4 linked regions of the Arabidopsis thaliana genome follow. The protein of the gene in region 2 interacts with the protein of the main gene of each other region in a pairwise test. Each region holds a gene or a part of one and is shown on either strand. Other genes may lie near its edges. The genes, in order: HSBP, HSF1, TBP1 and LCBK2.

Evidence for each region.
Region 1: the proteins of HSF1 (region 2) and HSBP interact in a two-hybrid assay, tested with the Arabidopsis thaliana proteins (one study listed by BioGRID).
Region 3: the proteins of HSF1 (region 2) and TBP1 interact in binary tests that used the Arabidopsis thaliana proteins (3 or more experiments, as listed by UniProt).
Region 4: the proteins of HSF1 (region 2) and LCBK2 interact in a two-hybrid assay, tested with the Arabidopsis thaliana proteins (one study listed by BioGRID).

What each region holds. Positions count from the first base shown.
Region 1 is NC_003075.7:8,984,835-8,992,314, forward strand, and holds HSBP (heat shock factor binding protein), read right to left. Parts: upstream 3,828-7,480; 5' UTR 3,506-3,827; coding exon 3,503-3,505; intron 2,892-3,502; coding exon 2,838-2,891; intron 2,746-2,837; coding exon 2,722-2,745; intron 2,628-2,721; coding exon 2,585-2,627; intron 2,167-2,584; coding exon 2,030-2,166; 3' UTR 1,764-2,029; downstream 1-1,763. Other genes in the region: RALFL33 (ralf-like 33), read left to right, coding at 81-431; AT4G15810 (P-loop containing nucleoside triphosphate hydrolases superfamily protein), read right to left, coding at 4,328-4,979, 5,244-5,888, 5,975-7,025, 7,159-7,261, 7,340-7,480. UniProt on the Arabidopsis thaliana protein: Negative regulator of the heat shock (HS) response. Affects negatively HSFA1B DNA-binding capacity in vitro. Involved in acquired thermotolerance but not basal thermotolerance. Crucial for seed development, after fertilization and during embryogenesis.
Region 2 is NC_003075.7:9,868,221-9,875,460, reverse strand, and holds HSF1 (heat shock factor 1), read left to right. Parts: upstream 1-3,814; 5' UTR 3,815-3,857; coding exon 3,858-4,190; intron 4,191-4,337; coding exon 4,338-5,492; 3' UTR 5,493-5,643; downstream 5,644-7,240. Other genes in the region: AT4G17760 (PCNA domain-containing protein), read right to left, coding at 2,204-2,432, 2,558-2,628, 2,716-2,835, 2,922-3,042, 3,121-3,275, 3,362-3,451, 3,525-3,641; AT4G17740 (Peptidase S41 family protein), read left to right, coding at 5,742-5,822, 5,924-6,215, 6,312-6,461, 6,540-6,622, 6,710-6,918, 7,028-7,096, 7,168-7,240. UniProt on the Arabidopsis thaliana protein: Transcriptional activator that specifically binds DNA sequence 5'-AGAAnnTTCT-3' known as heat shock promoter elements (HSE).
Region 3 is NC_003074.8:4,376,246-4,384,304, forward strand, and holds TBP1 (TATA binding protein 1), read left to right. Parts: upstream 1-3,547; 5' UTR 3,548-3,808; intron 3,809-4,067; 5' UTR 4,068-4,071; coding exon 4,072-4,148; intron 4,149-4,240; coding exon 4,241-4,328; intron 4,329-4,556; coding exon 4,557-4,628; intron 4,629-4,726; coding exon 4,727-4,777; intron 4,778-4,910; coding exon 4,911-4,955; intron 4,956-5,043; coding exon 5,044-5,136; intron 5,137-5,241; coding exon 5,242-5,343; coding exon of another isoform or gene 5,344-5,406; exon of another isoform or gene 5,407-5,449; coding exon 5,450-5,523; intron 5,524-5,623; coding exon 5,624-5,624; 3' UTR 5,625-5,979; downstream 5,980-8,059. Other genes in the region: AT3G13437 (uncharacterized protein), read left to right, coding at 103-244, 332-447; AT3G13440 (S-adenosyl-L-methionine-dependent methyltransferases superfamily protein), read left to right, coding at 2,093-2,169, 2,343-3,102; DIN4 (Transketolase family protein), read right to left, coding at 6,095-6,130, 6,214-6,300, 6,393-6,470, 6,548-6,643, 6,713-6,799, 6,876-6,944, 7,019-7,108, 7,191-7,288 and 4 more. UniProt on the Arabidopsis thaliana protein: General transcription factor that functions at the core of the DNA-binding multiprotein factor TFIID.
Region 4 is NC_003071.7:18,947,789-18,955,777, reverse strand, and holds LCBK2 (Diacylglycerol kinase family protein), read right to left. Parts: upstream 4,977-7,989; 5' UTR 4,860-4,976; coding exon 4,676-4,859; intron 4,516-4,675; coding exon 4,439-4,515; intron 4,326-4,438; coding exon 4,272-4,325; intron 4,167-4,271; coding exon 4,107-4,166; intron 4,021-4,106; coding exon 3,943-4,020; intron 3,849-3,942; coding exon 3,802-3,848; intron 3,720-3,801; coding exon 3,679-3,719; intron 3,586-3,678; coding exon 3,501-3,585; intron 3,413-3,500; coding exon 3,298-3,412; intron 3,223-3,297; coding exon 3,100-3,222; intron 3,020-3,099; coding exon 2,919-3,019; intron 2,829-2,918; coding exon 2,699-2,828; 3' UTR 2,503-2,698; downstream 1-2,502. Other genes in the region: KPHMT1 (ketopantoate hydroxymethyltransferase 1), read left to right, coding at 136-489, 587-640, 738-971; AT2G46100 (Nuclear transport factor 2 (NTF2) family protein), read right to left, coding at 1,311-1,398, 1,518-1,569, 1,723-1,789, 1,870-2,024, 2,092-2,452; BPS2 (BPS1-like protein), read left to right, coding at 6,418-7,461; MPK12 (mitogen-activated protein kinase 12), read left to right, coding at 7,906-7,989.

The sequences.
Region 1 (7,480 bases), 880 kb from region 2:
ACCATTTCTTTCTCTTTCTTCAATAAAACTTTTGAAACCTCCAAAAAAAAAAACCTCAGAGAAAGAAGAAGAAAGAAACAATGAGAGGACTCTCCACAAAACCCGTTGCGATAATCATCGCAATTCTCACCGTCCACTTCTTATTCGCCGCCGTAACCTCCCAATCCTCCGGCGATTTCGTACCGATCGAGTCGAAATGCAACGGTACCATCGCCGAGTGCTCCTTATCCACGGCGGAGGAAGAGTTCGAGATGGACTCTGAGATCAACAGGCGTATTTTAGCAACAACGAAGTATATAAGCTACGGTGCGCTGAGGAGAAACACAGTTCCTTGCTCACGACGCGGCGCATCTTACTACAATTGCCGACGTGGAGCTCAGGCTAATCCTTACTCTCGTGGCTGTAGCGCTATTACTCGTTGCAGGCGATAATCTCTTTCTCTATGTACTTTAAAATTTTTACTCTCAAATTCTTTTGTTTTGATTTTTATACAATTTTTCAGATTATTATTTGTTTTGATTGGTGTTTACTATGTTTATACTTTGCATTGCAATATAGTTTCATACAGTCTCAATATAAGTTTGATATATGAACAGAAATATATATAGATGTATTATACATTTCTGATTAATATATCAAATGTTATGTATGGGTGCTTTTTGCATGTGCTGAAGAAAAAACCAGGTGTTCATATTGGAATTTATATGGATATTAAAATTGTAGTTGTTTCATTTTTTTTTGTATGAAGGGAAATATTTGTATGATTGGGGAAGAAATCAAATTTGGTATTTTCCTTATTTTATCGGGTTGAATAATGAGATAGTGTATTAAGAGAAATAGTATTAAATGTGGAGAAGTGGGAAAATAAGAGAAGAGGCAATAATTGGTATTTGGTTGGGGCCAACTAAAGGGGCAGCTTCACATGGCAAATACTTTCGCCAGAAACCACACACACGTGGCGTATTTATTACGTTTTTTTCTTCTTCTTATAATCTTATGTATTCGATTCATTTATTTAAAACTAATACAAATTACATTAAAGTCTATCAGCAATATGTCAAAAGAATCTGAGTCATGGAGCCACTTGGAGGAGAAAAATTGTCAAAACTCAAAAGAGAAGAAAACGTTACACAATGTAAAGATGATGAGAAAAGAAAATAGGGGGAAGACACTAAATTTACTCCCCATAATTAGAGGGAGGCTGATTTGGAGAAAAAATAGTCAAAACAAAATAACAAAGCATTGATATTCGAAGATACACTTTATTTGCTCCTCCGGGGTCCTCAAGGGGCTTTGTCACAGAGAAATAAAAACCAAAGTTTTGGAGAAAAGGGGTTTTGGACCGCAAACTCATACCTCATGACAAGCATAAACCAACTCATCACCAGTTGTTTATTGATTTATTCGATAATGATAGTCTTGTGACTACTTTTCTATCTAGTGTGTTTCTTTGAAACCTTGCAATTTTCAACATTTTAAACAACTTTTGTTTTTAGTTGTAAACGCAGGCTAAACATATCCTCTTTGAAAATATATTCACATTGGGCAAAAATAGACTGTTAAAAAATTTCTACCGACCTTTTTCATGTAAACACAAATGCGAAATAATCAAAGCCTAATACAGCTATGAGATTCGATTTTGATAAATCGATCAGTCTAACTATGGCTCCTATACTTTAACCTTTTCTAAATTCAAAATCTGAAAAAATAAAACCGGAATCAAACCCAAAAATGGAACAATGAACTTGGTTTGTCTATTCCCCCTGATAAGTTGCGTTTAAGTATCGACAGTAATATGAATTATAGGAGCATAAGAAGACTTCTTAGTTCTCTCAAGACCAAAATAGAAATGCAATTCATAGGTGGAGAATAATGTAATGCACCACATCATCAATCTATTTGATGAACTTTAATAAACAACAAACTCGTTTCTTAAAACAGGAATTTTAAAAGTAATACTGCCTGCTCTTAACATATTTCATAGTTTTTCTTTTTCCTTCGGACATGTCAATGAACACCACATTCCTTTTTAAGAGGAACTAGCCGGTGTTTTGGGTTCATCGCCTGATTTGGAGGCTGGAGGAGGAGTGCCTTCTACTCCCATCTCGGCTCTTAGATCATTGATGCTTTGCTCCAGCTCATTGATTCTGCCTCCCATGTCATCAAGTGAACCATCAAATCAAAATCAAAGTCAAGGAGATCAAAACCAATGTCATGAACACAAGATTGCTGATCAAAGAGTTACCACAGATTACAAACTTGTATCAGTTCATGGTGATAAAGTTGCTTTTGTTTAGAATATATAGCGAGCAGAAGAACAAGCATGCATATAATAGCAACTTAACAAGAGAAAATACCATAGAACCATGTGCTACTACCCATAGAATAGACATTTAGACTCTCAAGAAATACTTTAATCAGAAAAATAGACAGATTCTAATGATAATTCTCAATACCTAGTACTAAACTTCTTTCCTTGAAGACACAAATAATCAATCATCATTACTGGTTCTAGGAGGGAAACATTTCATATATTCTACTTCAAGCAACACTCAAGTAAAACCACAGATTGATATAAGGATATTCTTTGTGATGATGGAGTCCGACATTGTCTGGAACCTGGTTTGCTGAAACACACAAATGTGACCAAATTTAATCAAAATCTACCTATTGAAGGTATAATTCCAAGGCCTACGAAGACATAAAAGCTGAAAAACCTACCATCTGCTGGAGAAGATTTTGGACCTGCATATAAAAATTCAAGGATTCAGTGATAAACCAAGTGAAATTGTCTCAAAGTCACAAAAATACCAAACAAAGAGAACGAGAATACTCACAAAAGCAGTCATATCAGCAGTGCTCTGCTTAGTATCCTCAGAATCATGACCATCCTGTCAGCAAAAGAAAAAAAAAACTGTAAGAAGAAACTCAAAGACACAGTAAATATAACAATCATCAGGACAAGAAATTGAAGCTTTATACTAACGAAAAAAAATTGTTACAAGGAAAGAAACAAGCATGAACTATTGCCCATTGAGAATATTTCTATCTGAACTTTCTTAGTACTACTAGCATTACACACAGCAAACTCGATACATGAACATTTCTAAGTAAGAAAAAGGACGAAAAAGTTAACTTATACTGAATCTCCCCATCAGATCCTGGACTTCACGATACTAGAGTTCTTGAAAAGCCGAATTCACAAGTTCAAAATCCACAGATGAAAACAGAAAATCGAGCAAATGCAAAATCTTATTGTAACCCAGCAAAAGATGCTCTAAATCGTCCAGATTTCACTATAAACTCAACATTTCGATAATTGATCTACAATAACAGAACAACCATAAGAATATCATGCGAGATTCCCACTAAACCGTAAAAAAACCTAATCCGAAGATATATCCTTAAATGCAATCGACAAATCCGAATAAACGAGCCTAGGTTTCGTGAACGAAAACGCAAAATCGAAAAAGCGCAATGATATTAGGAGGCGGATATTTACCATTTTTAGGGTTTTCTTGCGAGTGATCGGAAAACTGGAGAAATTTTGATTTCAGCGAAAAGCGATGAGAGACGACGGAGGAGAAGAGTGATGCGATGTTTATAAAACGAGAAGAGAAACGCTGTTACTGTTAACCCCAACCTTATAGGTATACAATGTCCAAAATGCCCCCTCTTTACTTTAGTTTCTATCGTTATGATTCGATTGGGTGGGATCATGTGTGTGTGATTCAAATTTCAAATATTTTTATGTACGTTTGGTATTGAGATCTAGATCTTAGGATGATTCAAATCATTATTGTGGATGTTCAAATCTGCAAACATTTATTTGTAATCATCTTATTTGTAAATTTGGCTTAACTTTTTGTTCCTCTTGATGATTAAAGGCAGACCAATTCGAATTGTGTTGTATAACGACTTATCTCACTAATGGCATAAACCCTGACACATTGATGACTGAAGTATGTAGATTTGGAACAGCCTATTTGTTTCTTACCATCAATAGATATATTAACGAGGTTGTTGAACACTATCATGATTTTACAAGAGAAATGAAACACATGATTTATATAATTATATGATTACAACCAAAAGACATACATAAGCATCTTATCTCCATGTGAGAGATTCTAATCCTCCACAACCCAATAGAGGAAGAAGTAACAAACCTGACCACAAGACAATCAGGAGACAAGTGAAATGTTGCTTATCCTCACACCATTGGTATTTGATATAGTTAATTTTCGTGTATTATCAATGGAATACAAAAGACACGACGATCACATCTGATATGTTACAACTTCTACAACAAGAGCAAATTCCAATTTTAAATATCTTTTCCAGAAGTGAATACGGATATCAACATAGGAACCAAACCTAAAACAGACATGGAGCCTCTCATCCTCACCAAGATCTTCCCTTCTTCTTGTACATTTCTTCTACAGTCTCGGCTTCCAATGGAAAACCCTGCGTGCACATCAGATGTATCTAGATAGATACCGAACCTTTTTGTTGCTTGGAATCCAAGTCTTCCTCTTCTGGTTCTTACACGACCAAGTACAGTTCCTTTTTCATGTTGTCTCTCCACGTCTTCTGATTCTTGATTCTCCACGAGAAGTGTTTCTTGCTCGAGACATTCTTGACTCTGTTCGTCCCATATAATTTCAGGGTAAGAATCCAGTAATTTCCTTTTCTTCTCCTCCAAATCATCATGTGAATGAGAAGTGTGCCCTGAGTTAAGTAACACATTCCACAAGGAACAGAATAGAGTGAAAGAGCTAAGCTGGGAGCCAAAGACACCGGCCTTTTCTACATCGGTATTCTGCTTTTGCAAAGAACCGGCTTTAGACCGGATCTTAACTGAGCAACATAAGATCAGCAAGTTCAATCTCCAATCCGAACATGTAGATTCGCTGCTTTTGTTTGCGGAGAAGAAGCTCATGTTGTTCTCTGCCAGAACAATTCCTAGGCATCTTGCTCTGGTCTATACAGCTTAACTCTGGAACTGCTTGTCTGATTGATTGATGCATAAGAGAAGATCTCTGAGAAATAAACTCCTTGTAGCTTAAAGAATCTACAACATCGGAAGCTGCATGAGTTAGAACCACGATAGCATTTTTCCATATTGACGAGCCCAGGGAACTGGTGATGATTTTAAGTAAACGGATGTCTGGAGTGTCATCTAGACGGTCAATATAGAGGTGATATCAACTGGGAACTTTCTCATGCTTTTCTTTATTGACATAAGGACTTCCTGATTAAACTGTTCCTCAGTTGCAGAGGACAAGAGTCCTGGCGTATCAAGTATACTTATCTGGATTCCTCCTACATTCCCAACAACATAATTTGCAGAGTTAGTGGTAACTCCAAATGCACCAACAGCAGATTTAGTCTCCCCAAAAATAGAATTAACCGTTGCACTTTTTCCCACCCCAGTTTTCCCGATAACAAGGACGTTAATGGAGAAGTCTAGATCAGCTGGAAACTCTTGTTCAGGCAGCACTATCTTTGTTCCGTCAAACATGTGATCAAGCCCTAAGGACGTTGGATGTTCTCCACCAGCTAGGCTCATCTTAGACGCAACTTTAGTAACAGTTGAATTTTCACGGCTAAGACATGTTCTTCTTATAATCCTCTGGAGCTTTTCCTTCAAGAGCTGAGTCTTCTCAACTCTTTCCTTCACTCTCTCACTTATCAGCTCCACAGAATGATTAGAGGATAATAGTTCTGAAGAATTCTGGAAACTGGATCCAGTGAGTTTCTCACTTGTATCACCTGTTCCTTCGTACTCGTCAAGCTCCATAAAAGTGTGATTATGAATCAGCCGTGCCATCGTCTCATTTTCCATTATATCATAAGCAATTACGGAAGAGTTTTCAGGCATGGTCCTCTCAATGTCTTTAACCGAAAGCAAACTGGTTTCTTCTATGCCCACTGAGATTTGGTTTGCTTCGCTATCAGACTGAAAATTGACCTGCTTATTAATTGATTCCCATCTTCCACAGTCTCATTGGCTGTTTCAAAGGAACTTATTAAACTTGATGCTCTATCTTCATCAGGAAGTGACAACTTCCTATCAGTATCGTCTGATTCTTGATTTCCTTCATTTTCAGATTCTTCTTCAGCTTTTTGATCGGAAGAACCACAACCAATTACAACGACATCTATTCCTCCAGCGACCTCAAGGTTCATTATCATTTCAGAATCTGAAGTTGGAGTTAACTGAAAACTTTCAGAACTCATACCAATTTCAGGTTCATCCGCGCACTCAAGTTTTTCTAATTCGCTAACAGCACCACGATCATTTTCACAGTGTTCTTCTGCCTTGCCTATCATATTTCCAGCGTCTTTATCCCCTGAGTCTCTGCTTTCTGATCCAATAGACTCGTCACGTGGAATTATCAATTCATCTGCATCACAGACACTACCAACATCAGTTCTGTTATTGCTCTCCTTGCTGGTACTAGCTTGACCCACCCCTTGTTCGACAAGGCTGCTTACAGTTTCATCTAATCCTTTATCCTCATCAACAGCGTTTCCTTCACTTTCCACCAGAAACTCCTTGCATTCACCTGTCATAACACCAAGACTACTCTCAAAAGACACTAACACATTGTCAGAAGATTTCTCTTGTACCATAACTTCCTCTATGGATACAAGTTCACCTATATTAGAACCTGCGTATTCTGGTTTATCATTCATTCCCATTTTTGCTAATTCAACTGCACTATCTTCTACTCTTTCTACATCACTTGGCTTCATCAATGCGTCAAATTCATGAATGCTACCACCACTATCCTCCTTGTTGATGGTACTTTTACTATCCCCTTTCTCGATGAGTTGCTTGAAATTTTGACCCAATTCTATACTCGCCTCACTAGAGTTCCCTTCATTTTCTGCCATAAAATCACTAGAACCTTCTGGTGGAACACCGAGACTTGATTCTTCAATATTCCCAAAGGACATCAAACCATCATCTAATTTATCTGAATAGTTCATTCTCACCTCTTCAGAATCAACATCACCTATAAAAGAATCCGAACACTCTGGTTCATAACCACTCCCTTATCTCCAAACTGCGACCCTCTATCTTCAACTTCAGCTTCTTCATCACCTGGAGCCTTAGTTACACCCAACAGCACAGCCTCTTCATCATACTACCCAAAATTTCATCAAACTCATCATCATCCAAAGACAAAACAGCCCGAGGAATGACTACTTTTGCTTTCATACTACCTCTTTCATCTCCACTAACTTCACTCTCGCAAACCTCATCACTGTTCTCACCATCTTCCTCCCAAAGACGAGTAATTCACCGACGTTTCCTCGTCAACATCACCTGCAAATGGTCTATAAATCCCACTCCCACCTGAAATTCACTTCCATCTCCACCTAACTCTTCCCCTAGTAGCCTATCTACCCTAACCCCATCCAAAACCACATCCTCTAACACAGTCTCATCTTCATCAGTCTCAAAATC
Region 2 (7,240 bases):
GTTTAGTTTAAATTTGTTTTCGAATTATAAAACGATAGCTATAAGTTTTTTTTAATATAATTTGGATAGCAATAAGTTTTTTTAATCAATATGAAACTTCTAAATTTGTATTTGTTTCGTAACTTAAAATCCAAATTTAAATTCAATAAAATACATAATATCAGCTATGTATTAATAAAAGAAATTGGACAGTCCAAATTAAATTCACTATCTACTACTACTAGAAATGCTATTAAAAATTAAAATAATAAGCTTGGATCGCTACATTAACTTCAATGATCATAACTCTAATTTCAAAGCCTAAATTCATGTGAAGAGGCTCGCAAGTCGAAATTCCAATAAATATCAATATCAGCGTCGATTTCGTTGACTATGGTTAAATTAAATCTTAACTACTGCAGTTACTTTAGTAATTATTGTAGTATATTTCAACTACTATTAGTATTTATATACCTTCTTCTCACGCCAAGTGGGCTTAATAAGATTAATAAATTCGAAGAGTATTATTTATCAATCCGTATAAAGGTTTGTTCACCGAAGACATATGTAGATAGTAAGTTCAAAATTTCAAATGTTTAAACCGATGATCAGTAAAACAATATACCGTGTCCGTGCTCATGAGCATATGTTTCGAAGAATACAATACATTTCTCTAATCAATATATAATTAAATCTCTTAGGGTAGGATTTATTGGTTGTCAAGATTCGAAAGGAATGATTTGTTTATACTTTCGTATATAATAGGATTTATATTTCTCATTGTTTATAATGTCCTTTCAGATTATCAACCCGACAAAGAATATATGATTAGATTATCAAATTGGTGCAAATTGCCGTAAATTTATTAATATGTTATTGATTAGACTATATATAGTTCATTCAAAAAGGAGAGATTCTCGCATGTCTCAGTGACTCGCTAGGTTCATCAGTTTTATTAACTCTAGTAAGAATTTTTTCCATGTATATTAGGTCTCTCTGGTCTATACATCTATATACATTGGTTTATACGTACATCGGTACATATACATACACAAATGAGACATTGTACGTTTAGTATACAGAAATGATTAGCATATCATTCGATAAATTCCCACCGTTTATATGTGTGGGTGTGTGTGCGCGACATAGACATATAAGTATATTATATAAGCAGCATTGATGTATGTTTGTATCATGATTAGGTCCACAAAAGTGTCAATACCATCATTAATGTCAATATAAATGGTAACACGTCCCCACCATATAATGCCTACAAATCTACATTAGGTGCACATACATAACAATTTGCGTATATGTGTGAGTTCTTGTCGATTCATTTAATTATTCTTCTATAAACTATTTCCAATAGATGGTAGTGATATATGATATCATGTCAACATTATTGGTAATTTTCTTTACAAAAAATGATTAAAGAAAACACACAAACTGCTAACTTTAGTATAAAATCATCACCCAAACTCTTCTTTAACAAACGTAATCATTTTCTTAAGAAGATTAGAAACACTAATCATACGATTTACTTTTTCTTTTTGTCAACATAATCATATGATTTTCTAAAATTATATTTTGAAGACTTTTTTTTGGTGTTTGGCCTCGAGTCATTTATATTTCTTTCTCTTTTGAGTGTGATTTAATAATCATGAGAAAAAAGTCCAACCAACTTTGAAATAGTGAGAAAGCTACTTGGACGTCTGTTTTAACTCCACGTGTCAAGCTTAGAACATTTAAAGGTTTTGCTTACAATTTTTATTTATTTGATCCAACCAACACCAACCCATCTCAGATATTTTCGCCAATCATAATCAGAGATCAAATTATAACGGTGAAGCTATTTTTAACTTGTATATTAAATAGTAAAATATACATGTTACACATCCGGATCCGTGGCGCAATGGTAGCGCGTCTGACTCCAGATCAGAAGGTTGCGTGTTCGATTCACGTCGGGTTCAATCCCCCGAACTATACACCCGGTTTCTTTTTTCGGTATGACATACCTATGTCTCCACTGCACGACGTCGTTCAGCGATATAACACTAAACGACGAGACATCTGAGCTAATTTAGTGAAACCACACGCAGTTTTTCTTTGCAAGCCTTAAACTTTTTCTTTCTTTCTTTCTGATACTGATACTGATAGTATTGAGAGACTGACTAAAAAGAAGAACTAGAATTACAAAGATAAAGTAACTGAAGGAGAAAATCTATTAATCAGCAGGCTCTTCAGGCTTCACAAAGAACTCTATATAAGCAATCCGACTCGGTGGCTGATACCCTGCGGATTCCACTTGTGGAGCTAAAGCTTTAGAAACTGAAACCAAGTGCTGAACTTTCAACATTCCTCCTCTTCCTATTGTTAGTTTGCTTCCCCTGTTTTCTCTCACTACGTTTCCCGGTATGTTTGCCGTTGTTGCTTTCAAAAACTTGTATTTGTACCTACAATCAACAATGAGAAGTTTAGCAAATGTATCTGGCTACTATTCTTGATTGGTAAATCAAGCGTAGGAGCGTGTGTTTTAACCATAAAGCTACGGTAGAGAAAGAATTGAGTTCATTGTTACCCGTAAGAGACTTCGGTATCACAATGAAAGGCAAGGAGAAGATCTGTGTTGGCATAATACATGAAGTCTATCTGCAAAGAGGATAGATCGAAATATGTTCCTTGATTCTTTCACATTAAGATAATATACATCACCAAGAAACAAGTGAGAAACAAGACCTGCAAGTCTCCATGTCCTTCTCCTCTAAAGATTACACAAGGGGGTTCCTTTTGAAGACTGATCTGTACACTTGAACCAGGCCATTCAAGATCATCTATTGCTTCCTTCAACGCCGCTGACTGATAGATACATTATCAATTACCATTTGAGAAAAAGCTCAGACTAACAATGTTAAACGAAAAACGATACTAAACTATGTTACTACCTTTACTGTAAAAGTAAGTGGCGCGATTCCCGCCTGCTCAAAGTTGTAGTCCCAAGTAACAGTTTCGGGAATTCTAGTTCTTATCTCAGAGTAGATGCAAGAGTTTAAGGTATCAACAGATCTAATCAAACACTCACACCAATCAGCTAATTACTCGTAATCCGTATATTCACAAAGCAAAGGATCATAGTACACATACTTGAGAAGAAGCTCCATATCAGGTCCTGGATACTTGATTTCTATAGTATTAGAATGTCCAGGTGATGAAAATGTGTTCAAGCAATCAACAAGAAGCCCTAAGCTGATTCCGAATCTCGGCCTACCTTGAGCTCCATACTCGTATTTCGTGAATAGCTACTCATATAACACATCAAACAGATTTCGGATTCAATCGAATTTTAGGGGTTTAGAAAATTTAAGATAAACTCAGAAATCGATACCTCGCGTTGAAGATAAACTTTGGCTTGAAGACAACCTGATTCTTCAACAATCAAAACTATTCCGTGTTCAGATAATTCTACTAAAGCATCCTGGAAACGGAGAAGTTTTCAGAAAATCAAAGAAGAACCCTAGATTGAATTTGGGGAGGATGGAGATAAAAACCTGGTGGCGTTTCCATCGGACGCAAGTGAGTGCATCGACCATTCCTTGAACATTATCGAGCTGGCAAATCAGGTCCGGTGTGTCTGGTTCAATCGCCGGCGACGAGGACGAACTCATTTCTCTCTCTCTCTCTCACTCTCCTTCCTCTGCTTTCCCGCCAGAAAATGTATGCCGACAATATAGCAATTAAATTGATTATTATTATATTTGTTTTAGCAGGCCCAGTTATTAATAAAGTTGATCTTTTTGGCCCACACACAAACTAAAAAGAAAAATAAAAGCCCATCTTTATGATATCGCGTTTATATCTGAGTCACAGAGAAATAAAAGGGTATGTTTGTAAATTTCAAATACTTCTCTTTCTTTATCCGTACGAAAATGGACGGTGTTACCGGCGGAGGAACGAATATCGGCGAGGCTGTGACGGCGCCACCACCGCGGAATCCGCATCCAGCGACTTTACTTAATGCGAACTCTTTACCGCCCCCTTTCCTTAGCAAGACGTATGACATGGTGGAAGATCCGGCGACGGACGCGATTGTCTCATGGAGTCCGACGAACAATAGCTTCATTGTTTGGGATCCACCGGAGTTTTCTCGTGATCTTCTACCTAAATACTTCAAACACAACAATTTCTCCAGCTTTGTTCGCCAGTTAAACACCTATGTAAGTATAAATTCTCTCGCGCCCTAATTTCTCCACCATTGATTTCTCTAATTGTACTGTGTATAGATTATGATTTCGTTGAATAATCTTAGTGCTTGATGTGTTTGATAAGATTTATATGATTCATGTGCCAATTTTGATGAACAGGGTTTTAGGAAAGTGGATCCAGATCGATGGGAATTTGCTAATGAAGGTTTCTTAAGAGGTCAAAAACATCTATTGAAGAAGATAAGCCGGAGAAAATCTGTTCAGGGACATGGTAGTAGTAGTAGTAATCCACAATCTCAGCAATTATCTCAGGGTCAAGGTTCAATGGCTGCATTATCTTCATGTGTTGAGGTTGGGAAATTTGGGTTAGAGGAAGAAGTTGAACAGCTTAAAAGAGACAAAAACGTGTTGATGCAGGAACTCGTTAAGTTACGCCAGCAGCAACAAACAACAGATAATAAACTTCAGGTTTTGGTTAAACATCTTCAGGTTATGGAGCAGAGGCAACAACAGATTATGTCTTTCCTTGCTAAAGCTGTACAGAATCCTACTTTCCTCTCTCAGTTTATACAGAAGCAGACTGATAGTAATATGCATGTAACCGAGGCCAATAAGAAGCGGAGACTCAGAGAGGATAGTACTGCTGCTACTGAGAGTAATAGTCATAGCCATAGCTTGGAAGCATCAGATGGACAGATAGTTAAGTATCAGCCACTTAGAAACGATTCAATGATGTGGAACATGATGAAAACAGATGATAAGTATCCGTTTCTTGACGGGTTCTCATCTCCAAACCAGGTATCAGGAGTCACTCTTCAAGAGGTACTACCCATAACTTCAGGACAGTCACAGGCATATGCATCTGTACCATCAGGACAGCCTTTATCATACTTACCCTCTACTTCAACTTCTCTCCCGGATACCATAATGCCAGAGACTTCCCAGATACCACAATTGACACGAGAGAGTATCAACGACTTCCCTACAGAAAACTTCATGGATACAGAGAAGAATGTTCCAGAGGCATTCATCTCTCCAAGCCCATTCCTTGATGGTGGTTCAGTCCCGATTCAGCTTGAGGGAATACCCGAAGACCCCGAGATTGATGAACTAATGAGTAACTTTGAATTCCTTGAAGAATATATGCCAGAAAGCCCAGTTTTTGGAGATGCAACTACACTAGAGAACAACAACAACAACAACAACAACAACAACAACAACAACAACAACAACAACAACAACAACACAAATGGTAGACATATGGATAAGCTTATAGAAGAATTGGGTCTTCTCACATCAGAAACAGAACACTAGTAAAGGATTATGTTTAGTATCCATTGTAAAGTCTTTCTCTACTAACATTATCGTTAGGACTCAGTAGTACGGTTGCAACTTTGTGCAGAAATCTTTCCTTGGATAATAGAAGAGTTGTATTTATTATTAAAAAGAAAATGCCATTTTTTCTAATTTATTGTAGAAAGTGACTACTTTGTCCAATCATATTTGTAGTCCTTTTTCGATAAGAAAAACAGAGTTGGAATTTTCCCGGGGAAGCTCTTTTCAATGGAGGTCCTTGCGAGCTCTTCATTATCCCCAATTTCTTTTACTAAGCCTAACAAAATAAACCCTAATTTCTCAATCCAGGTACTTTTCTTTCGTATAGTTGACTCCTTTTTAAGTTTCTCTCCTGCAATTCCCCAATTTGTGTCCGTTTAGCTGTGTAATAGAATTTTCAACCTTTGCAGGTGAAATTGTGGGTAAAACAACCTCCAAAGATTTCAAAAGCTAGCAAATTTAGTTATGCTCGTAGTCGTAGTAACATTTCAAGGAGCAATGCAGCAAACCCAGGAGTCGTGTTCGTCTGTAATAGATTTCTGTGTGTTATCGAAAGAAATGATCAGAGGAAATTATCTGGGAAGGTTATGATGAAATCTTCTGTTAATTTCAGACAGAATCTCTCTGTTGCATTAGTTCGGATCGTTTCTGTTCTGCTTGTCTCTTCCATTTCTGTTGTTACCACTGATTCACCACCATCATGTAAGTTCTGTTTTTTTTACATGTTGAGAAACCATATAAATTTCGGGGAATGCAATTTGATTTCATTTGTGTGGCTTTTTTTCTCTGTCTCTTTAGGGGGTCTTACTGAAGAGAATCTTCTCTTCCTCGAGGCTTGGAGAACAATTGATCGTGCTTATATTGATAAAACCTTTAATGGACAAAGCTGGTTTCGTTACAGAGAGACTGCTTTACGAAATGAGCCTATGAACACTCGAGAAGAGACATGTATGTGTGAATAGCTTTATTAACCTTTTACAAAATTAGTACAACTTGCTTCTAAATTTGGTGTTGGTTTGTGTTTAGACATGGCTATCAAGAAAATGGTGGCAACACTAGATGATCCTTTTACTCGATTCTTGGAGCCCGGAAAGTTCAAGAGTTTGCGGGTAAGATTTCCTGAAAATATACAGTTCTGAATTTAGCAAATAGACTGTATGTAAGATCTAGTAATTAAATGGTTTGGTTGAAGGCAGTCGGGGACTCAAGGGGCGGTTACGGGTGTTGGGCTGTCGATAGGTTACCCCACTGCATCAGATGGACCACCAGCTGGGCTTGTTGTTATATCAGCTGCTCCAGGAGGTCCTGCAAATAGGGCGGGGATATTACCTGGCGATGTTATTCAAGGAATTGATAATACAACCACAGAAACTCTTACCATATACGATGCTGCACAGATGTTGCAGTGAGTTACATTTCCATTTTTCATCATTCCTTAACTTTGAAAAATCTAAGTGTGACGAGTTAATGGTTCTGAAGTAAGAAATGATGATAATGCTTTGGTTGAAATGCAGGGGACCTGAAGGAAGTGCAGTGGAGCTAGCGATTCGCAGTGGACCTGAAACGAGACTCTTAACTTTGACGTATTTCTCTCATGCCTACATTTATCTTCGTTGTCACGTTCATTTGGTAACTACAATTGTTGTTATTTCAGGCGAGAGCGGGTTTCTGTGAATCCAGTGAAGTCAAGATTATGTGAACTTCCTGGTTCTGGGAGTAACTCCCCT
Region 3 (8,059 bases), on a different chromosome or scaffold from region 2:
TGACGTATACATATCAGTATCACACCAACTGTAATGAGAACGACCCTGATATATATAATCTCTGCCTAACAGTCTAACACTAGCTAATTTATAGTTTATAAGATGTTATATACATATATACCCGGGAAGAAAGAGGAAGAAAGAAAAATGAGTCTCAAGTTCATTCTTATAGCTTTGCTTCTACTTTTATGCATCACATTTTCCAATTCGACCGTCGTTCCTTTTTCCAAAAACCGGAAAATTAGTAAGTCTTCATAACTGCATAAGTGCAAATATTGTTATTATATGGTGTTAAAATGAGGTTTGTAATATAGTTTTAACGTGTAACAAGCCAATGAAGAAGAAGAAGAAGAAGGTAGAGAGATTGACATTCACAAAGGAAAGAAGATCACCGTAAAAGTCAGCCGTTCGCCTCCTGCAAAAGGCTGGATTTGTTGCAATGATTAACTAAAAGGAGCTATGTGAACATTTTCATAAGATCCCATCCTTCAATTTCTATGAAGATAATATCGACCAAGATCAAACTTCAAAGCTTGAAATTAGAAACGTGTATTTGCTATATCTCAACCACTAATTTAAGGGGCTTTCGGCCCATTACACGCATGGGAAGATTCAATTATGTTGATTTTGTAAGTTTTGGGGCTAAAGTGTAAATTATTGAAACTTGTAGGCTTGATTTCATTATTCCAAGTTTCCACTTTTTCTCCTCCGCCGTAGCCGGTGCTTCTTCTTCGTGAAAATCTTTCGTCTGAGATTTTTTCTTTACTAGTTGAATAAAATTGAAGATTTCGAAGACTACCCAAAACCGCGTTTTACAAAAAGCCAGATTCTTTTTTTTTTTTTTTTTTTTTATAATTTCATTAAAACTACCCAATGGGCTTGGGCCGAAACTTACAAACAATTCGGTCCAGTTACAAAATTAGGGTTTTCTGACACATCGCCAGGAAAAAGAAAAAAGCTCGCCGCCTGTTGACCGTCGCTAGCAGAGCGACCAAAACCTAGATCCGGCGGACTCAAGTCCCACAGCTTTGTGGCCGCCTCCGAGAATCGTCCACCACCGACGAAAGATTCCGGTTTTCGTCTGTAGAGACTCAACTCCAACGCACCAACCCACCACAAGACTCCCGGAAAGCTAGCCGCTCCGACGTAGCGGTTCCACGGAACCGGATCCCGACCTAGCAACCCGAAACACTCAGCGATAACACTTCTCTCCCATCACCGGAAAATAGCAAAGACCCAGAGCCAAACACACGTCGATCCGGACCGGTGGAGACCAAAAACGGCAGACCTAAAGACTGGTGGCTCAGTCAGACTCTCTAGATCCAAAACCCGCTGCAGCCATCTAAGATCCAAACAGATCTACTGTTAACCACCGCATCAGACAACGAACCCCCCCTTACCCCTCTCCAACTTCCGCCGTGGACGCAGCGACTAGAATCACGGGTGAGCCTGAGAACCTCGCAGCAACCCTCAGCGTCCATAACCAAGAGACCCCCGCCGCAACCTTCTCGACCGACAAAACCAGAGCCAAATCCACATCAGAGAGAGAGCTCCACACCACACGTTGACGGAGACAAGCATCGGCTCACTCCTGGACTTCCTTGAAGAGGCTTCAAACCGACGATGAAGAGCAGATCGGAACAAAAAGAAAAAGGAAACTAAATCTACTTACCGGAAATTGTCTTCAAGAGAGAGAGAAGGGCACGACTTTCAAGGCTACGATTGAGCCTCCATCTCATAAAGCCAGATTCTTTATCTTCCATAATCGTATTAAAGCTACGAAAACCTCGATTTCGTGTTCAAAACTTGGATTTGCTCGCTATCGAAAGGTCTGACCTTTAATCCTTTTCATGGGTTTAATCGTTCAGATATGATTTCTCGTATCGGTATTATAGCTTAGAGGAAAAGTGTCGTAGTTTTGGCAGATGAAATTAAAATTGGCTCTGTATTCCCAAATAGTTGAAACCCATTTGATGAAGCTATCTTATCAGACTTTTACGCATAAGTTTTCTTGTGGTCTTGGATCGTGTCTAGTGGCAATTATCTTCTCTGAGTTCTTTTGCTTAGTTTGATTGTCTGTTGTTTTAGACGAATGGCTGACCAAGGATTAGAAGAGAGTAATCCAATGGACCTTAGCAAACATCCTTCAGGGATTGTTCCTACTCCTCAGTGAGTTCTTTTGTGCCTTTGTCTTTATTTTAGTCTCTTAAGAGTTAGTGTTTGTTTGATGTCTATGGTGAACTTTAGACTGCAAGCTTGTTTATATTTGAAATATGGAATACACCTTCTCAAAGTTAAAACCTTCTAACTTGTAATGGTGTGGTTTTTGTTTGTTTGTTTAGTAGTCAAGTCATTTACAAGATGCCACCAAGAATTGCTGCTATCCGTCTTGTAAGCTCGCATCGTGAGGTCTATGAACCATGTGATGATTCATTTGCGCTAGTTGATGCATTACTCGCTGATCGCACCAACCTTATAGAGCACAACCCTAAGATTTGTATGGAGATTGGATGCGGAAGCGGATATGTCATAACTTCACTTATACTTCTTCTTCAAAACGAAGTTCCTGGTGTTCATTATCTCGCCATTGACACTAACCCGATAGCTACAAGAGTGACAAAAGAAACTCTAGAAGCACATGGAGTTAATGCTGATGTTATCTGCGCAGATTTAGCTACTGGTCTAGAGAAGAGACTTGCTGGCTCAGTCGACGTGATTGTGGTGAATCCGCCTTATGTGCCAACACCTGAATATGAAGTTGGAATGGAAGGTATTGCCTCTGCTTGGGCAGGAGGGGAAAATGGCCGGACAGTCATCGATAAAATCTTGCCTGTGGTTGATCTTTTGCTATCAGAGAAAGGATGGTTCTACTTAGTGACATTAACTTCAAATTTCCCAGCAGAGATTTGTCTGATGATGAGAAAGAAAGGTTATGCTTCGAGAATCGTAGTTCAGAGATCAACAGAAGAGGAGAATCTCGTTATCCTAAAGTTCTGGAGAGACAAGGATGAGGAGAGCCAGGACAAAGAGACATCATCATCATCGTTTGTTTCGCAGTTTTCGAAATCCTTATCTTCGCTTATGGAGAAACAATGGCGCTGATACTACAAAGATGGCTAGAGATCTCATAAGCATGCTTTGTTTAACCAAGAATTCTCTAGTGTTTTAATTTTTATGAAAATCATGTTTTGTGTTGGTGGTGTAGTCGTAACAGTGATTTGATTTAGTGGGGTTATTGGTTAGTGGATTTTAACTGATGTGAAATTTTGATTTTCAATTCCACATTATGTGATTTGAAAAAATCAATGAAAAATTATAAATTTCTACTTGAAAAAAAATGTTCACTAAATCGCTAAATATGCAAAAATATAATAGCGTTATAACACTAAAGCTGACGTGGCCGAAAAGGAGTGGACTTTCACATAAAACCGAAAGACAGCCGTCATCGTAGCATTACCGCATAAATTTCCAAAATTACCCTCGATGTAACAAGGACGGTCAAGGGTAGCATGGGTATGTATATATAGGTATAAAGGGGCTTAAGGATCCCAAATCCGAAACGCAAGTCGATGACCTCCTCTCTCTCACAGATCTAAAAACCAGAAGCGAGAGAAACAAATTCACTCTCCCCTTATATAAGCACCGATTTATAAATCTTTTTCCCTCTTCGATTCTCAATTCTTTGTATAAAAGGCTTCTCCTTTTCTCAATTCTTCGGCTTCCTTTCGCCCAAACTCTTCCCTCGAATCTTTCCTTCTCGTCTTAAAGCTACGAAACCCTAGATTTCGGATTTCTTCGCTATCCAAAGGTCTGACCTTTAATCCTTTTCCTGAGTTTTTTCGATTAGATCTTATGAGTTTCATCACCTTAAGAGGATAAGTCTCGTTGTTTTGGAAGATGAAATCTAAAATTGGCTCTGTATTCTCAAATAATTGAAACCCTTTTGAATGATAAGTCTATCTGATAAGACTTTTAAGCATATTGTCTTGGATCGTGTCTAGTGTCTATTATATTTTCTGGCTATTGCTTATTTTGATTGTGTTGATTTTGGTTTTGTGTAACTATAGAAGAATGACTGATCAAGGATTGGAAGGGAGTAATCCAGTTGATCTTAGCAAGCATCCTTCAGGGATTGTTCCTACTCTTCAGTGAGTTCTTTTGTGCCTTCGTATTTGTTTTTTGTCTCTTGGGATTAAGTGTTTGTTTGACCCCTGTTGACATCTTTGATGTTTTGTTTCAGAAACATTGTCTCCACGGTGAACTTAGACTGCAAGCTAGATCTTAAAGCCATAGCTTTGCAGGCTCGGAATGCTGAATATAATCCCAAGGTATTTGCATTATATTGTGACTTTTTGTTTTAATAAACGGTAGAAAAGTTGTTTGGAAGAGTACTCTCTCCTTGAGTTGACCTTATTGTTACCTGAGATCTGATTGGTCTATATACTGTGTACTGATTAATTAGAATCTAAGATATTATCTGTTTTTGGCTTTTGCTAAACTAATTTGCCTTAGCTAAGCTCGTCTTATGTAATACCTCTTGTGTTTTATGTTTCCAGCGTTTTGCTGCGGTGATAATGAGGATCAGAGAACCGAAGACTACAGCATTAATATTCGCCTCAGGGAAAATGGTATAGTTATTTTGGTTGGCAATACTTTTTCATAATTCTGAAATTTAATTACATTGGTTTGAATTCTCTTCTGAATTTGGCGACTAATCTCCAATTAGGTCTGTACTGGAGCTAAGAGCGAGGACTTTTCGAAGATGGCTGCTAGAAAGGTAGATTTTTTTTATCTTTAACCTCTTTAATTTAACTTTCTTATAGATCTGTTCTTCTTTACTTTAGCAATAATTGCAGTATGCTATTTGCTCCTCATTTGTTTATGCTAATAGGAGATGTTTTATTGTTTAGTATGCTAGGATTGTGCAGAAATTGGGATTCCCTGCAAAATTCAAGGTACAATTTCTTTAAACCTTTTCCCTATCCAACATTTTTTTTCTTACTTTTGCTTATACTAAATATATTCAATTGTTACATCCTGCAGGATTTCAAGATTCAGAATATTGTAGGTTCTTGTGATGTCAAATTCCCTATAAGACTTGAAGGTCTTGCTTACTCTCACGCTGCTTTCTCAAGTGTGAGTGATCTTAACTTATACATTTAGTAGTCAAGGACCGACTTTTAGAGATAAAAACGTTGTGCTGATGGCCATTACCTCTCTCTCATATTGGCGTGTGGTTAGTATGAGCCCGAGCTCTTCCCAGGGCTGATTTATAGGATGAAAGTCCCAAAAATCGTCCTTCTAATCTTTGTCTCTGGGAAGATCGTAATAACAGGAGCCAAGGTAATATCTCACTTCTCTTTAGGTTTTGTGATAATACTTGTTATGTCTCTCTCTAGTCTCTAGCTCTTCTGTCACCTGAAAAAATCCTGAGATCACTCATTATCAGATGAGAGATGAGACCTACAAAGCCTTTGAGAATATATACCCCGTGCTCTCGGAATTCAGAAAGATACAGCAATAGTATGTAACACACCCGTCAACTTTCCTCATCTTTCTTAGTAATGTTTGATTTCTCGATTTATTCGTGCATGAACCTAATTGTTGTGTTTATCTTTTATAGGGTCACGGATTTGTTCCCTGCAAAACTAGTTGTGCGGTCTTAGCCCCTTGGAGTTGCTAAAGCTTGCTGAGAATTTTGCCCTTGAACAAAGGCTTTCACAGTAGCTAGACTCTCACCTTGTGTTTTGGTTCATAATATAACATTGTATATACACAATGGAGATTCTAAAGACAATTCTTCGGTTCTATTTTTTTTCTTTTTCTTTCCAAGATATGTCTTACATGTATGTTGCTGTAGTGTCCTCACATTTCCACTTATGTTACAAGTAGAACCTTAACTCAGTGTGTAGCCCTAAAGTCTTGTTTATCATAGAGATTGGCCAAGATTGTGAACAAAGATGGAGAGTTTCAAGATCATAGATTAAATAACAAAAGTGGTGATTACAGTATCCATTACATGTCTGAACCACCAGCATCAATAATTATTTCGAAGATAGGAGACAGAGAATCATGTGTACAATGCTAAGATGGGCTAGTAATTCACAGTGGATCTGATTGCATCCAATATCTGCATCAAATTGTGAGCCAGGGAAGAATTAGCAACAAAAACGAAAATATATGTATAAGATACAGACCAGAAACAAAACTTGCCTTGTTCTTGGTTGGCATGTAGAAAGGTTCGAACACTAGAGGGAAAGGAGTGTCCAGGCCACAAACTCTGCTTACAGGTGCTTCTAACTGCAAAAGTAACCAGACATGTAAGCAAATATGAAAACCAGACATTGTTACCAAAAATTATAATGCTGTAGACAAATATGACTTGTTTTTACCCTCAAGAAGCAACGCTCAACTATAGTTGCAGCGATCTCGGCCCCAAAGCCTCCTGTAACAGGAGCTTCATGGCTAATCTGCAACCGAAGTAAGCAAACACATTTATTCTCTGAGACTTAGGACAATGATACTCACTCAGAGAAGCTTAACTTACAAGAAGTCTGCCAGTCTTTCTCACTGAGGTCTCAACGATTTCCTTATCCCAAGGGATCAGAGTCTTGAGATCTATCAATTCACACGATATTCCTTCCTGCAAAAACATTTTGTTTCATCATCTGTATCGCCAAAGACTAATTAAGTGCAAAACATAAAAACTAACGTTTTCTGCGTCAAGACATGCTTGTTCCATGATAGTGAGCTGTGCTCCCCATCCAACAAGAGTTATGTCGGAACCTTCTCGCATAACCTGTGACAAAAAGTTTTCATTTATTAGTCTTAGAAGTGTACTAAAAGAAGAGACACTAGAAATGGAACCTATATACCTCTGCCTCAGATAAAGGTATCATATAGTCATCTTCAGGGACATCCTCTACCGCTTGACGATATAGCCACTGAAGAAGAAGAACAAAGGATCAAAGACTCTTTTACAGGTTCTTGAAGTTGAAAATAACTCAAGAAGTAGTACCTTTGGTTCGAAAAAGACAACGGGATTCGGATCACGGATGGATGACAATAATAATCCCTTAGCTTCCCGTGGACTTCGAGGAATAACAACCTACCCAAAACATGCAATTTTCATATACACCTAAGAATATGAAGCAAATAGAGAAAGAAGAAGCTTTAGTAAGAAGATGTACTTTGATACCAGGGACATGACAAAAGAAAGCTTCAGGGGACTGCGAGTGGTAATGTCCACCGTGACCAACTGCTCCGTACGGTGCCCTAATAGTGAGTCCTACAATTGTCACATAAACCCCAATGAGTAAAAACTTGGTGTCTCATAACCAAGAAGGCACAAGAAGATATGAGTTTACCTCCACAGTTAAACTGGTTTCCACTTCGGTATCTGAACTTTGCAGCCTCATTAACAATCTACGAAATCACAAAACTCCATAAAGAGAACTCATGCGTCATCATAACTTGGTTTAAAGGTAAAGGTAGCATTTTTACCTGATCAAAAGCCGGGAAAATATAATCCGCAAACTGAATTTCCGCAATAACTCGATTTCCCTGCAAGCGAATAAGTAACCAGTAAGATGATGTGATAGCAATGAGAGGTAAACAGAAGAAACAAAAGAAGAGAAGAAGTGACCATTGCAGCTAAACCAATGCCAAAGCCAACAATGCCTTGCTCGCAGAGAGGAGTGTTGAAAACTCGAGATTTCCCAAAACGTTCAGCTAATCCTGTTGTACATCGGAAGACACCACCAAATCCAACATCTTCCCCAAAAACATAAGACCTTCACTCAAGTGACTCCAAATACATTATAAAAACCAATTCAAATGTACCTTAGACTTTAGGATTGAAAAATGCGAGAAAAGCTCACCGAGGATCGGTCTCTAAAGCGATGTGAAGAGCTTGATTAATAGCAGAGTATAGATTCATCGATTTACCACTTTCAGATACATTTTCAACCGTCGATAGCATCCTATATCCATGACCAGAGACCGGAAAAGATGATCCCCGGCAGAATCTGCGTACAAGAGCTGCCGCCATTTACGCAAA
Region 4 (7,989 bases), on a different chromosome or scaffold from region 2:
TGTGTCAATGTGTCATTGCCTGTGTAATCACAGATTTAGCTTTAGTACTTGCTTATGCAAAGTAGATTCTTTACAAGATTTTGTGTCAATGAAACAAATTAGGGACCTGATTTTGGGTTTAAATGTTGGCTTCAGGCGGTTGATACTGCGGTTAGGGTTTTGAAGGAAGGAGGAATGGATGCGATTAAGCTCGAAGGAGGATCAGCTTCTAGGATCACTGCTGCAAAAGCTATAGTTGAAGCAGGAATTGCGGTTATTGGTCATGTGGGTCTAACCCCTCAGGCGATTAGCGTTCTTGGTGGTTTCAGACCCCAAGGCAGAAACATAGCTAGTGCTGTTAAAGTTGTTGAGACTGCAATGGCTTTACAAGAAGCTGGATGTTTTTCGGTTGTTTTGGAATGCGTTCCACCTCCTGTAGCTGCTGCTGCAACTTCTGCCCTCAAGATACCAACCATTGGCATTGGGGCTGGACCTTTCTGCAGTGGACAGGTTTTATTTGAAAAGTTTCGTTCTTTCCGGTTTTGTGTGTAGCCAAGAGACAAATTTGCATTTCTCATACCTGTTAATTGTTTTCTTGGAAATGCAGGTGCTAGTTTACCATGATCTTCTTGGTATGATGCAACATCCACATCATGCCAAGGTAAAATCCTGACACAATTATTGTTTTCGAAACGCATTCTCTTGTTCGTTCGTTCGTTATCAACATGCTTCTTGTTTCATGCTCTTATATTTCACAGGTTACTCCAAAGTTTTGCAAGCAGTACGCTAATGTCGGAGAAGTGATTAACAAAGCCCTAATGGAATACAAAGAAGAAGTCTCTAAAAAAGTGTTTCCAGGTCCTTCTCACAGTCCTTACAAGATCACAGCAAGTGAGCTCGATGGGTTCTTAACCGAGTTGCAGAAGCTTGGTTTTGACAAGGCTGCTTCTGCAGCAGCTTTAGCAGCTGAGAACATGGAGCCTTCAAAGTGACAATTGTATCCAAAAGCTTGAGATATATTGTCAATTGTACTTAAGACACTAGAGAATTATCATTTTTTTCAAGAGAATGCAAATTCATAGAGTACGGTTAAAACTTGAGACGGTGCAAGGTTGAAGAGGTTCAAGCATGGTTTCTCTGTTGCTTGTCCAACCGAGAAGAATGGACCTTTGTTTTAATGCGACAGTGATAGTATGTTTATATGTGTCATCTTGAATAGATTCATTACAGATCTCTAAGAGCAGAGTATCCCATATTAGTTTCAGAAGCAAGTTTCATATATTTACGGTTAAAAAAATCTAATTTGAAATTGACATCATTCTTCATCTGCGCTAGTTTTGTGTCCCCACTAAACCACGGCTGGGTCTCAGAAGTTGTTTGAACAGAGCAATCTTAGGGACATTCCAATGCTCCACGTGCCTGCAAGCCAACATTCATCAAAATATGTTTAACCAGCTTCTTCTTCTTCACAAAAGATTTCAAAGTTGAAAAGAGATTAGTGGGGTTTATATTAATGAGCTCATAAGTAATCTTTTTACCTGCAAATTTTCCCGGATTCTGTGTCGAAATAATACTCCGTGTAACCAGTTGCTGTAAAAACAGATTTCCATAAAAAGACATAGTAAAAGTTTTGTTCTTTTTGTCTTCATTACTAATCATTGAAGCTATTAAAGTTGCAAACTTTATCCTAAAAAGGCTACAAAAATCTGAAAACTTTTAAGGTTTCCTTGATAAAATAAATACCTGAAAGAATGGGTTTCCATGGAAACGACATGACACAGCTAAATTTCCAATGTCCAATTCCTTTATCCTGCAAAACTCATGATGGAGCTCTGGTGAGAAACAAAAAACGAAACTTTTACTCCGACATCTTTTAGTAGTTGACCGTACCTCAAAATTCTCCCATTTCATGAGCTTCATATTGGATTTCTCGATAAGGCTTCCGAAATTAGTGCAATTCCTTTTGAAACGAGCAAGACCCTTGAAGGATCCAGCCGGATCAGCGAATTCACACTTCTCCTCATAAACCTCCGGCGTCAAATTACCTGAAAACTCAGAGATTTCGATTTAGACAAAAGAAACAGAATTCAGATTGGATGATTTTACACTGACCTGTGACGAAGTAGGATCGTTTAAAGTCTTGTTTAATCGAGTCCACGACAGCTACACGAACGGCTCGACCAGAACAATCAACAGGAACCTCAAAGCCTGTCACAATCGGAGAAGTCTCCGGAGATCGGAAAACAGAAGCAGCTATTCCGAGTAGCTCAGATCCGTACCAAGCGATTTTGAGTAGAACATTATCCGGCTCGGGTCCTTTACTTGTCTGTGGCTCGTCAGTAGGATTCTGTCCTCGGCAACTCACTCCAGTTGCTTCGAATCGGCGATTAGTCCGGAAGATTGAACGACCACCATCGCCGGAGAAGATTGGATTAACGGTGGCGATGGAATGAAAGGAAAGAGAAGCTACCATTTTTAGGATTCAATTTTGTGTGATTGATTGATTTAGGAGATGCGACTTTTTGCTTTAAAATGTTTTAAAGTATCTATTTGTGGTTAACAGAGACCACACAATAAATAGTGATAGTAACGAGTTACACAAGTAACACGAGCATAAATCTGATTCGCTAAACAATGAATCATATTACAGGAAGAATATAAAGTTGAAGTATTCTACACTTTACTTGACAAGTTTATCCTAAGAAATCTGCGGTTTTGATCAGCTGATTATGTCTATGGCACCGGGTAACACCTGAAACTTTCTAGGTAGGAATCCAAGATGTTCTCCATCTGACTGCACATAGATACTTCCACTGTCTGTAATCTCTTCAACTTCGATGCTTTGTACACTACAAGAGAGGTAGCATAAAGGTGGTGACTTTTCTAGTGCTAAGGTCGTTTAAAGGACAAAATGAGAAGAAGCCAAAGAAAAATATTACCTTCTTGAAGTCACATTGTTAACCGAAAGATGAGTCCCGTTGTACAGCTTATGAAGTTTAAGTACGAAATCATACCATTTGAAGTTTTGAAGAACCACAACCTACAGGGAAGAAGTCAAGACTCAAGAGCTACCATATTCCCAACATAGGATTTGAGATTGAAGAAAACGAATAGTTGCACCTCAAGATTTCCATTTCCAGGGATGGCGTTGGGTGTGATTTTCATTCCACCACCAAAGTATTTTGCGTTTCCAACGCAGAGAGCAGTGACCTGGGGATATATTTCCCATTCGCCTCCATTGACCTGAGAAAATAACAGAATGCTTTTAAGTTACTTGCTACGGTGCAGAAGGGATTTCGCAGAAAAAAATTTGCTTACTCTGATTCTCATATCTTGGTTATGATGGCCCATGAACGCTTGTAGGGCACCAATTACGTAGCACAAGTTTCCAAATTTCTTGTATTTTGAAGCGTAAAATCCTGCCTTTGCGCTCCTGCAAGTAATGAGCAACAAAAGGACAGATTTACAACCTTGCATCATTAGGGATCAATCACAGATGAAAATTTCCACGATATGCTTACAAATGAACATCAGCTACATTGATGAAGTAATGCAAATCCTTTCCTTCCTTGTCGATAACACCAACATCAATCCGTGATCGCATCCCTGAGAAAATGCTGGTTATGTGATATATGAGACATAGATAGACAGTTCAGTAGTAACTAAGTCCTAACTCCTCAAATGAATTCAGTGACATACCTCTAGCAATGCGCTCCACTGCTTCACAAGGATCATTGTTCCTAAAGAATGCAGGATACACTTAACATATGGCTCAACATAAGTTTCAAAAAAACACAACAAACAGAAGTTGCAAAAACTAACCAACCAAATGTTCTAGCAAAATCTGAGCCAGTACCTAAGGGAATCAGCTGCAAAATAAAAAGGATGGACTAAGATTGTATGTTGTAACTCCACAAGAGATATACACAAAAACAAGTCAAAAAGTCAACTCAAGCTACTCACACCAAGTGCAGTCGATCGACTAGCTTCCCCACTGAGATAACCGACAGGTTTCCCCTCCCAAAAGAAACCATTAACAACCTGTAGATAAAAAAAAAAAGGACAGAATGAGTGGAGCTAAGAATCTCCAGAGCGCAGTTCTAGCAACCAAAAATGGCAATTCCTACCTCATGAAGTGTTCCATCACCTCCAACCGCAATGACAGCATCTGCACCATCCCTTATAGCCTGAGAGGATAATTAGAAGCAACAGAGGATCATCATAAAACCAAATCGACAAGACAGAGAATACTGTACCCAGCAAAGTAGTATATTACTTTCACTACTCCTTACCTCTCTTGTAATGTCAATGGCATGAGAAGGACCCGATGTTAATAATTCACTTACCTGGAGAAACAAACAAGAAGACACGTAAACTCAGTTGAAGGAACTGAAGAAAGCGAAAGGAGATGGCATCACTAACACAGGGGCACAAAAAGGCAAGTGAATCAAAAACTCACATTACAGTCTTTACCAAGACGAGATCGAAGGTGAGGAAGCAACTTCTTCCATTCTTTAGCTGTTCTACCATTAGCACCTAGACTCATATAAAAGACATTGAAAAGAATCAAGAGACGATAATACTAAACCTCAATTCCACATCGAGATTGATTCTCATATTAAAAACATCATTTTTAAATCCAATGAATTTCGAATCTCAGTTTTTTTTCATCCAGTGAGTAAAAGGGCAAACACACCTTGAGGGTTTACGACGAAAACGAGATCACGGAGGCCGGAGGAGGAGACGACGGCGGCGGCATCGCCACCACCACCACCGCGAAAGGTGAAGCGATCAGAGGTAATACGTTGCTGTTTCCTAAGGAAAGAAGGTTGTTTCGCCGTGAAAGGGCAAAGTGGAGTGCAGCAAGTGGATCGTAGCATTGTATGGCCGCAATTTAGCTCCGGTCATCGCCGTTATCAAGTTCATCGCGCGATTAGACACTTACAGAGACCTTCTGTTTCAGCGAGAGGCTTTTTCACAACGTTTATGGGCCGTTTTTTATCTTCAAAGTTTTAAAAAGGCCTATTTTATCTAGCACAATGGTGGAGTTGTCTCAAAGTCAATAAGGTATTCAATATCGACGTAATTCGATTAGGAATCTTTTGGGAAAAATGCCCTTTGGACCTGATGGCCCATAAATTGAGGTAGCTATACCTAATGGGCTTAAAGAAACAAGAAAAACGATTGAGATAAAGACAGCTCTTTAGTCTTTGTCCGGATGTAAATTAAAAGTGGGGTCCATACTTTTGTCGACCGATTTGTTCCTTGACAGCTGTCATTTGGGCTTTGAGGCCCATGTTTTACGCAAATCCAAGGAATTCGTTACGTAAAACAAATAAAGTTGTTATGCCTTTTAAAAAATATTCACAGTTGCTGAAATTTTTTTGATGAGGATTTTACAATTTTTTAAAAAGCAAAGTACTACCAAAAATAATAATGAATCGTCAAAATTAATTTTCGATTAAATCTTCTCAGTTTTTATTTTTAAAAGTAATAACAGGAGTCTGTAGGACGTGGTATGTATTAGTTAGCCGTTAGATTTGGTTATAATAATTAAAATAAACAAAGACTACGCCAATCGACCAATGACTTATTTTATAATCCCACGAAATCGTCTCATTTTTGGCCCTTCGATAAAACTTTTAATTATTTTATAGCCGTCCACTTTCCGCTAAGAATTTAACTACACACAAGGCTGTGACCAATTAAAACGTAACAGCCATTCACTAATGGTATACTTGTAAGGTTGTAACTAGTTTTTATGTGACGGGCCGTAGCTTTATCAAACTCGACCTCCGCCAGACATTTTTCTCAGCCGATCGACTCAGAAAATTCAATGAAGCATTAGAAGAATCATTTCCACACGATTTTCCCTGTGATTTCTTCATTTCCGGCGACTTAAAACGGTAAGTTTCGTGGAAATTGAGTTTTTTTTTGTTATCTATAATTCTCCTTTTATTGTGTGTGTTCTTCTGTAAATCGAAGTTTGTGTGTTTAGTTCTAAGATAGATTTTACTGTTCGATGAAGAGTTTGTACCGAACTTCTGTGTTCAAAACTTCCGTGTAGATAATTAACTCCTAGGGTTCTTCTAATTTTGGAAAGATTGAAACTTTTATCCTAATTCCTTGGTTCTGGACATCTTCAAGTGTAGATTATGGCTTAGAACAATTGATTATGTGTTTGTTTTCATCTTCAAATTTTGATTTTACATCATTTCAATAAAGGTGGTAACTTCTTTTTTTTCAAGATCTCAAAAGTTGTCAGCTTTTTGGGACTCTTAAGGTTGGGACTTGGGATTGTATTGTTCCTCGATTAGTCCTTCTATGTGTGGCAACAACACAGAAGATACATTGAGTTCACAGCAAATCGGTTTGTATGATTAATCATTATCATTATTCTAACAATATTTCTCTTTTCATTTTCAGGTGTCTAGCAAAATGAGCCGACCACAAGATCCACCCCGAGGTTTCTTCCCATTTGGAAATCCCTTTCGGATGTTATCATCAAAGGGATCAGATTTATCGCCATGGCTACTTTCTCTATTGAACGGCTTTGAGCTACGTTTGGAAGAGAGACTGAAGAAACTTATGCCTAAGAACAAAGATGACATCCTCACTTTATCCTGGATGAAGCTAGCTATGGAGTCACTCTGCGAGACTCATAAGAACATTAACACTCTCATTACTGATCTCCAGCTTCCTGTCTCTGATTGGGAAGAGAAATGGGTTGATGTTTACCTCAACATAAGCGTTAGGTTACTAGATCTCTGTAATGCCTTTAGCTCTGAGCTCACACGTCTCAACCAGGGAGATCTCTTCCTCAAGTGTGTTCTGCACAATTTACAATCGGATTCTGGGGAGAAGTATCTCCAGGCTCGATCTTCGCTTGATAGCTGGAGGCAACATGTTAATACAAACAACCCTAGAATTGAAAACTGCCGTGCGGTTCTAGACAGTCTTGTTAAATCTCTGAGTCTGCCTAAAGTCAAGAACTCGCCTAAAGGAAAGGTTCTGATGCGAGCTTTTTATGGTGTGAAGGTTCAAACAGTTTATATCTGCAGTGTATTTACCGCAGCCTGGTCTGATTCCACCAAGGATCTTTTCGATTTACCTGTCTCTGAAAAACCATTATGGGCAAAGGTCTTTACTGATATGCAGAGTGTTGTAAATGCTGAGATCAGAGACATGTTGTCTTCCGGTAGAACCACGATTCTCAAAGAGCTGGAGAGCGTTGATGCTAGTGTCGAGAAGCTATACCCGATGATCCAAGATGGCGTTGATCCTGTCGAAGTTGAATTCTTCAAAGATAATGTTATGGAATTGGGGACACAAGCTGAGAAATTGTCTCAAGGGTTGGATCAGTTACTGGAGGAAGTTGATAGTTTCTTTAAACTGACTTTGAGAGGGCGCGATGTGTTGCTCTGTAATCTTAGGTCAAGTGACTCAATCTCTGGCAATGCAGTTGGAGAAGATGTAGACTAAAATAGTGAGGTAAACAAACAAGTTTAACCCTTACAAAAGGCAGCTTTAGGTTCTATAAATAGTGTTTTCTCTTTTTTCTTTGTTTTGAGTCCATCTGTCGAGCTTGTCTCTTCCGTTTAGGTGTGTTGGTCTTGTATGTGTGACTGTATGAAATCAATTCTGCAATAAAATATAAATATAGAATACATCTGTTTGGCTTGAAAAAATCACTGCTCTCTTTGTAGTGATCCAATCTTTCTAAACCTGTTTCAATCAAAGGAACAAATCAGAGGCTTTGATCTATAGTTAAGTGCAATTAGTAGTAACAAATGAAAAATGCAATATTGAGCTAATATCGAGTGACTCTGCTTCTTGTTACCATACACGTATGTAATCTTTCATGATCTTTAGATTCACGGGTCCCTTGAGAGATCTTTTACAGTTGAAAAAAGCTTCTCTCTTCACATGGATTTAGTGTCTTCAAGAGATACTTTAGGAGATCCTTCAACTTCAACAAAAGCCCTTCTTCTTGGTTTCTCTCGTTCTCGG